Macaca fascicularis: one gene and its partner. The main gene of each other region encodes a partner of the protein of the gene in region 2 in a complex. Links are inferred from orthologs where the notes say so. Each region holds a gene or a part of one and is shown on either strand. Other genes may lie near its edges.

The links. Proteins that work in one complex are often made in the same cells at the same time.
Region 1: CACNB1 (region 2) and CACNG1 share a complex: the UniProt entries of both Homo sapiens proteins name them as parts of the calcium channel complex. The link is inferred for Macaca fascicularis from reciprocal best matches to the Homo sapiens genes CACNB1 and CACNG1.

The regions. Positions count from the first base shown.
Region 1 is NC_088390.1:73,474,212-73,478,147, forward strand, and holds the start of CACNG1 (voltage-dependent calcium channel gamma-1 subunit), read left to right. Parts: upstream 1-1,136; 5' UTR 1,137-1,241; coding exon 1,242-1,470; intron 1,471-3,936. UniProt on the Homo sapiens protein: Regulatory subunit of the voltage-gated calcium channel that gives rise to L-type calcium currents in skeletal muscle. Regulates channel inactivation kinetics.
Region 2 is NC_088390.1:60,213,037-60,216,536, reverse strand, and holds part of CACNB1 (voltage-dependent L-type calcium channel subunit beta-1), read left to right. Parts: intron 1-7; coding exon 8-88; intron 89-490; coding exon 491-549; intron 550-727; coding exon 728-837; intron 838-995; coding exon 996-1,147; intron 1,148-3,500. UniProt on the Homo sapiens protein: Regulatory subunit of L-type calcium channels. Regulates the activity of L-type calcium channels that contain CACNA1A as pore-forming subunit.

The DNA of each region.
Region 1 (3,936 bases), about 13 Mb from region 2:
TCCTGATCATGCATCAGCCTCTCGGCTACACCCAAAAAGGGCCACCCAGTGAGCTGAGAAGGGAGAGATGGCACAACCCAGGAGAGACGTAGAGGCCGCAGCCTCGGGGACAGGCCTGGGGGCCAGGCAGGCGCACAGGACCCTCGGAGGGTGGTCGATCCCAGGCTTTCTGTGTTCTCTGCCATATCCGCACACCCATGAGCTCCTGATGATCCCCTATAAATCAACCTATTCGTTCTTTTTCACTCACACACATATTTTGCAAATTAAAACGTAACTGGAAAATCGTTATCACCTGCTGTTAGTAGAAGGCAAAACCAAACACAGTGCCCTGAAAACAGAACAACCAAGTCCAGCAGGATTCCTCGTCCTCTTCAGGCCGTTCTCGCTTTGTTTCAGAGGACACTTTGCGGGCAGTAATGACACTGACCTCGAACGGAGCTCTGCTCTGGACCCAGTTTTGGGGATGGAAAGAGAATTGAAAAGGAAGTAATGTTCTCGTGGAGGGATCAGAGTTGGGTAAGGCCAGGCCTGGGAACCACCTAAAATCTTCCTGTGGTTTGCGGGATGCTGTGGGGTTTGTGGCTAAAACGCTTGCCTGAGAGGTGGACTCCACAGGCCCCGGACAGGGTCCCTGGGATGTCCCTAGACAGAATCCTAGGCCCCCCAGATCCCAGGATGAGAACCTACTCACTGCCCCGCCGGTAGTAGGCTTACAATGTGGGAGCCCGGGACGGCCGTGCAGCCTGCAGCTCCTGGTCTCCTCCCCTGGCCTGGGGTGCCCTTTCCCATCAGCCCAGAGCAGACAGATCTCCACCCCTGGGGCCCTGCTGCCCACCCCTCGCCCCCTCCCAACTCAGGCACCCTGAGCTGCTACTCCATAGAGGCCTCAATCCACCATCCAGAGCCTTCTCTCCTTGCCCCGCCCCCCACTGGGGTATTTCTGGCTCCCAGAGGGGCAGACAGCGCTGAAACCCGAGCAGAAGCCGTCCCCGGTGCCACGCCTGGAGAGGGGCATTAATAGCAGCCTTCCTCAGGCCCCTGACGCGTCTGGGCAGCTGCTCAGCACATCCCGCGTCCCTCAGCCCCAGGGCCAGCCCACTCTGGCTCAGCCAGGCACACTAAACTTAGTGGCCACTCCCAACTCGACAACCACCGCCACCCCCCAGCTCGGCTGTCACCTGCCGGAGGAGACGCAGCCGCCAGACCCTGCCCAGGGCACCCACGCCTCGGCGACCACCATGTCCCAGACCAAAACGCTGAAGGTCCGCGTGACCCTCTTCTGCATCCTGGCAGGCATCGTGCTGGCCATGACGGCCGTGGTAACCGACCACTGGGCTGTGCTGAGCCCCCACATGGAGCACCACAACACCACCTGCGAGGCGGCCCACTTCGGCCTCTGGCGGATTTGTACCAAGCGCATCCCCATGGACGACAGCAAGACCTGCGGGCCCATCACCCTGCCCGGGGGTAACGTACCCACCCTCCGTCCCGATCCCCACCTCCCGCCCTTCCCCGTCGTCCCCCGGACAAATTTGCCCATGCCAAGGAAGGCAGGTTTCTCAGGCTAGAGATAGGGCAGCCGCCCAGCCCTTTCTGCCCAGGGAAGAAGATCTGAATTGCATGTGCTGTGCTGGTGGCTGGGGCTGGGTTGTAAGACGAGGGCGTTTGTCCCAGCTATTTCTGTCTGGCTGGACCCTGGGGCTTTTCGCCCAGAACAGAGAGCTGGGCAGGCTCAAGACGGGAACCGCAGCTCTACCAGCCCAGGGACTTCTGGGCTCCATCTGGTCACTCTCTCCCTGCAAAGACATGCTGGGTGGCTCTGTGTCCTCAGGCTGGGGGAAACCATGGAGCTGGCAGGTTTGTCCCTGGCCTCAAGGCAGGGGAGGAGAGAGGACAGGCGACGGAATATGCAGGGTCCTGTGCAAAATGAAAATGCAGGGTTCCTTGCTCCAAATTACCAAGGATTTCAAGGCAGCGATAGCAGCACATGAATCCAAGCATGGACCCTTGTGGGCCCTGGGCCTGGAGAAGCTGCACAGGTTGAATGCCTGTGAAGCAGGACGTGGCTGTGGGTGAGCCACCTGCCCCTACCTTTTTTTTTTTTTTTTTTTTTTTTTTGAGACAGAGTTTTGCTCTGTCGCCCAGGCTGGAATGCAGTGGTACAATCTTGGCTCACTGCAACCTCCGCCTCCTGGACTCAAGTGATTCTCCTGCCTTGGCTTCCCCAGTAGCTGGGATTACAGGCATGCGCCGCCACACCCATCTAAGTTTTGTACTTTCAGTACAGACGGGGTTTTGGCATGTTGACCAGGCTGGTCTTGAACCCCTGACCTCAGGTGATCCACCTGCCTTGGCCTCCCAAAGTGCTGGGATTACAGGCGTGAGCCACCGTGCCTGGCCTCCGCCCGCCCTTTTGTCAGGACGTCAGTCCATTATGCATCCTCCGTTAGCTCAGACCCTGTCAGAGTTACAAAGCATTTCCTCACCCTGTAATTTAAGCGTGTTCCTCGATTTCCTACCATGTGACCGAACCACATGTCGAAGGTAAGCTCCTTTTCAGGAGTACCTGGTAGTTGCATGACTAGCCTCTATTCTGCAAATGCCGAGGCTTCTGGATTCTTAGCAAATACAGCACTTTAGAGGAAAGGGTGCTACGTGGAGACCAGGCGGCCAGGGATCTAGTCACCATTGCCCATTACCCTCAAATGACCATCCAGCGAGGACAAAGATCATCTCAGCCTCTGCTTCTTCCTCTATAAAATATGGGACTGACTCTCAGCAATGTAAGATCCCTTCCCAGGTTTACAGACGCCCATCCACAGTGGCAGTGGAGCAGGGTTATGTCAGTGTGATGTCCCACCTGGTTTTCAGGATTATTCCCTCTTTTACCAGACTTTGGTGTTCCTTGAAACCTGTCCTTCAAGGACACTAGGGCTGAGTCCCCAAAGATCTTGCAGTCTGCATGTGAACCAAAGAGCCAACACCCCATCCTCCCATATCTCTGCTCCCTCTTCTTTCCCTGCTGCTTGCTCCAGAGATCCCCTCCCTCATTCACGCCCACTGGACGCCCAGAAGACTCGTAAGTGCCCAACTGTTATAGAAACACCGAGTCCCAGGGCTGAGGGTGACAGGTGTGGCCATGTGCTGGCAGGGTATCGCATAGCCCGGATGCCCATGCCCCTTGGCGACTGCCAAGCACACCCATAAACAGGCAATCCCTCCAGCCAACTCCCCTGGGCAGGGCAGGGCAGGGCAGCTTCTTCAGGGACCACGCATAGGGACGTGCTGTTACAGTCCTGTTCACCCGTCCTTGGAACCATCTGCCTTTTAAAGTCAGAGCAGAGGACTGGGCAGTGAGCAGAGTCCACACAAGGAAGAGACAGGCTGGTGAGAGGTGACTAGACCAATTACAGGGGACCAACAGGCATTGCTTGTTGGACCAACAGGCCTTGAGCCTCACCAGGATCTACCTCTTTGCCTTCTTAGCCTAACCAGCTATGAACCATACTTCCCACACTTGTGACACTGAGCACTACCTTTCTCCCAGTCATCTTCCAAAGTATGTTCCTACCTTTTTCCCTCTCTTTTCTCTGCAAATGGACATCTTTCTCCTTCCCCATATGCCCTTCTTGTGCCCCCTGGGACCATTCTTGTCTGGAGGGAGGAAGCGGGTTGATATGTGGCCTCTCATTTATTATTAACAACAACAACAATAATAATGGCACATACATGTAACCCTATGTGCCGAATATTGTTGTAAATGCTTTACGTGTATCAACTTTGAATGACATCACGAAAAAGATGATAGAGAAAAAGAACTTCCAAAAATCTTCTTCTCCATAAAAGCAATGAGAAGGCTGGTGGAAATGGTCAGAATCAACATTTTCAGAACTCTGGAAATTAACCAAAGTCCAGCAAGAAAAATGGGTGAAT
Region 2 (3,500 bases):
CCCCCAGACAGAGCATGTGCCCCCCTATGACGTGGTGCCTTCCATGAGGCCCATCATCCTGGTGGGACCGTCGCTCAAGGGCTACGAGGTAGGACTCCCTAGAGGGGAGTGGATGCAGAGGGGCCTTAGAAAGATCTTCAGACCCCAGAGAGATCCCCTAGAAGGGCCTAGATCCCAAGGCATCCTCCCCGGAGGGCTACAGACCTTCAGAGAGAACCCCCAGGGGGCCTAACCCACAGGAAGACCCACACAGAGGAACCCCGTCCCCCAAAGGAACCCCCAGAAAAGTCCTCCCAGAGATGCCACTTACAGGGACCTTTGGAACCAGAGACCCCAGTGGAGACCCCTCAGACCCAGACCCCTGCCCACCATAAAGTCCTGTTCGGAAGAAAGTGGAACGTGAGGGTACAAATACCCAGCTGCTCAGAGTCTGAGTGGCTTTAAATGCCTACCTTCTCCTCCTTCCCTCCCCACAAACCCCCACCCCCAGGTTACAGACATGATGCAGAAAGCTTTATTTGACTTCTTGAAGCATCGGTTTGATGGCAGGTAAGACCCTGGGAGCTGCTCCTCGCACCTGCCATTGCTCTCTGCTGCTGGGGATGGGCCGGATGCCTCGAATCACAGTCCTGGGACTGAGGAACAGAAGGCGGGCCTGGAACTGGGGAGTGGGCAGGGCATTCCAGCCCACTCTGATCCCTGACTTCCCTCTTGCCCCATTCCCCAGGATCTCCATCACTCGTGTGACGGCAGACATTTCTCTGGCTAAGCGCTCAGTTCTCAACAACCCCAGCAAACACATCATCATTGAGCGCTCCAACACACGCTCCAGCTTGGGTGAGCCCACCCCTGCTGTCTTCACTCACCCTTTCTGGGCTGGACGTGGGAGGGGTGGGAGTTAGTGGGCAGGGCCATCTCCAGAAGCGTTCCCTCCACCTACTACCTCCTGGGAGGCCACCTGACATTCCCCCATCCACATGACTCCGTGCCCCCAGCTGAGGTGCAGAGTGAAATCGAGCGAATCTTCGAGCTGGCCCGGACCCTTCAGTTGGTTGCTCTGGATGCTGACACCATCAATCACCCAGCCCAGCTGTCCAAGACCTCGCTGGCCCCCATCATTGTTTACATCAAGATCACCTCTCCCAAGGTGGGTGCAGGAGCCTGACCCTGGCCGGGACAGCATGGTTTAAAAGGAGTGCTCTGGAGTCGGGCTGCTTGGGTTTAAATCCCAGCTCCATGGCTTACTGATTGTGTGACTTAATCTACCCGAGTCTTAGTTTCCTTCTCTGTAAAGCTCCATGGTATTGTCAAGTGTTTCAACATCACATAAATGTATAGCACTTAGCAAATGGTCTGATACAACACGTTAGCTATTATTTACTACTATTAGGGTCATGCAGACCAGTCCCCTGTCTCCACCCTGATTGACCTCCCACCCTTGGACTGAAAGAATTCTGTGCTTTTTGTTCCAGTGCCACCCAGCTACTTGGCAGTTGGGAGGTCTTTCCTTTCTTCTTCTTCTTTTTTTTTTTTTTTTTAAGTCAGGGTCTTGCTCTGTCACCCAGGCTGGAATGCAGTGGTGCAATCATGGTTCACTGCAGCCTCTACCTCCTGGGCTAAAGCGATCCTCCCACCTCGGCCTCCCAAGTAGCTGGGACTAGTGGGTAGGTGTCCACTACCATGCCTAGCTAATATTTGTATTTTTTAGAGACAGGATCTAGCTGTGTTGCCCAGTTGCTTTACTCTCTCGATATCAACCCTTTTTGCTGCAGTGTCCTCATTTGGACTTTGATAGAGGGGGAATCTGCAAGAAGGCCGTCTTACTTTTTCCTTGTATTGCAGCACCATTAACTTTCCCTTCTAGATGCCAGTGGGGATCTGAGAAACATGGAGGAAGAGTTGAGGTGAAGGATTTGAAGTTAACAGACAGCATGGGCTTGAAATTCTAGCTCTGATTGATTTACATATTGATTTATTATTACTGTTGGTTTTTCTTATTGAACTTGGAAACTTGGGGGAATTATTTAGCCTCTGATTCTCTATTTCTTCACCTATAAAGTGGGGTTATAATCCCTCTCGTGTTATTGTTGAGAGGAATGGTGTAAGCAGCTCAGTATACTCTCTGATTTATTTATTTGTTTATTTGTTTTTTTTTTTGAGACCAAGTGTCGCTTGTCGCCCAGACTGGAGTGCAGTGGCACGATCTCGGCTCACTGCAAGCTCCACCTCCTGGGTTCACTGAGCCATTCTCCTGCCTCAGCCTCCTGAGTAGGTGGGACTACAGGCGCCCGCCACCACACCCGGCTAACTTTTTGTATTTTTATAGAGACGGGGTTTCACCGTGTTAACCAGGATGGTCTCAATCTCCTGACCTTGTGATCTGCCCGCCTCAGCCTCCCAAAGTGCTGAGATTACAGGCGTGAGCCACTGCGCCCGGCCTATTTTATTTATTTATTTATTTATTTTGAGATGGAGTCTGGCTGTGTCGCCCAGGCTGGAGTGCAGTGGCACAATCTCGGCTCACTGCAAGCTCCGCTTCCTAGGTTCAGGCCATTCTCCTGCCTCAGCCTCCCGAGTAGCTAGGACTACAGGCACCCGCCACCATGCCTGGCTAATTTTTTGTATTTTTAGTAGAGAGAGGGTTTCACCGTGTTAGCCAGGATGGTCTCGATCTCCTGACCTCGTGATCTGCCCACCTCGGCCTCCCAAAGTGCTGGGATTACAGGCATGAGCCACCGTAACCAGCCTACTCTCTGATTTATGAGGGCAGCCAGTAGTGGTAACCATTATCATCCCATGAGCTGAGCTCCCTGGACCAGTTACTTAACTTTTTTTTTTTTCTTTTTTTGAGACAGAGTCTTGCTCTGTCACCCAGGCTGGAGTGCAGTGGTGTGATCTCACTCACTACAGCCTCTGCCTCCCAGGTTCAAGCAATTTTTGGGCCTCAGTCTCCTGAGTAGCTGGGGTTAGGATTATGGGCGCACACCACCACATCTGGCTTTTTTTTTTTTTTTTTTTTTTGAGACAGAGTCTCACTCTGTGACTCAGGCTGGAGTGCAGTGGTGCAATCTTGCTCACTGCAACCTCCACCTCAAGTAATTTGCCTGCCTCACCCTCCTGAGTAGCTGGGACTACAGGCGCATGCCACCACACCCGGCTAATTTTTGTATTTTTAGTAGAGATGGGGTTTCACCATGTTGGTCAGGTTGGTCTTGAACTCCTGACCTCGTGATCCGCTGTCCTCGGCCTCCCAAAGTGCTAGGATTACAGGTGTGAGCCACCGGTCCTGGCCACACCTGGCTAATTTTTGTATTTTTAGTAGAGACAGGTTTTCACCATGTTGGCCAGGCTGGTCTCAAACTCCTGACCTCAAGTGATTCTCCTGCCTCAGCCTCTCTAAGTGCTGGGATTACAGGTATGAGCCACTGCACCCAGCCGACTTAACCTTTCTGAGTCCTATGTTTCTAATGAGATAAAGGGGATGATGGGATTTAAGTACT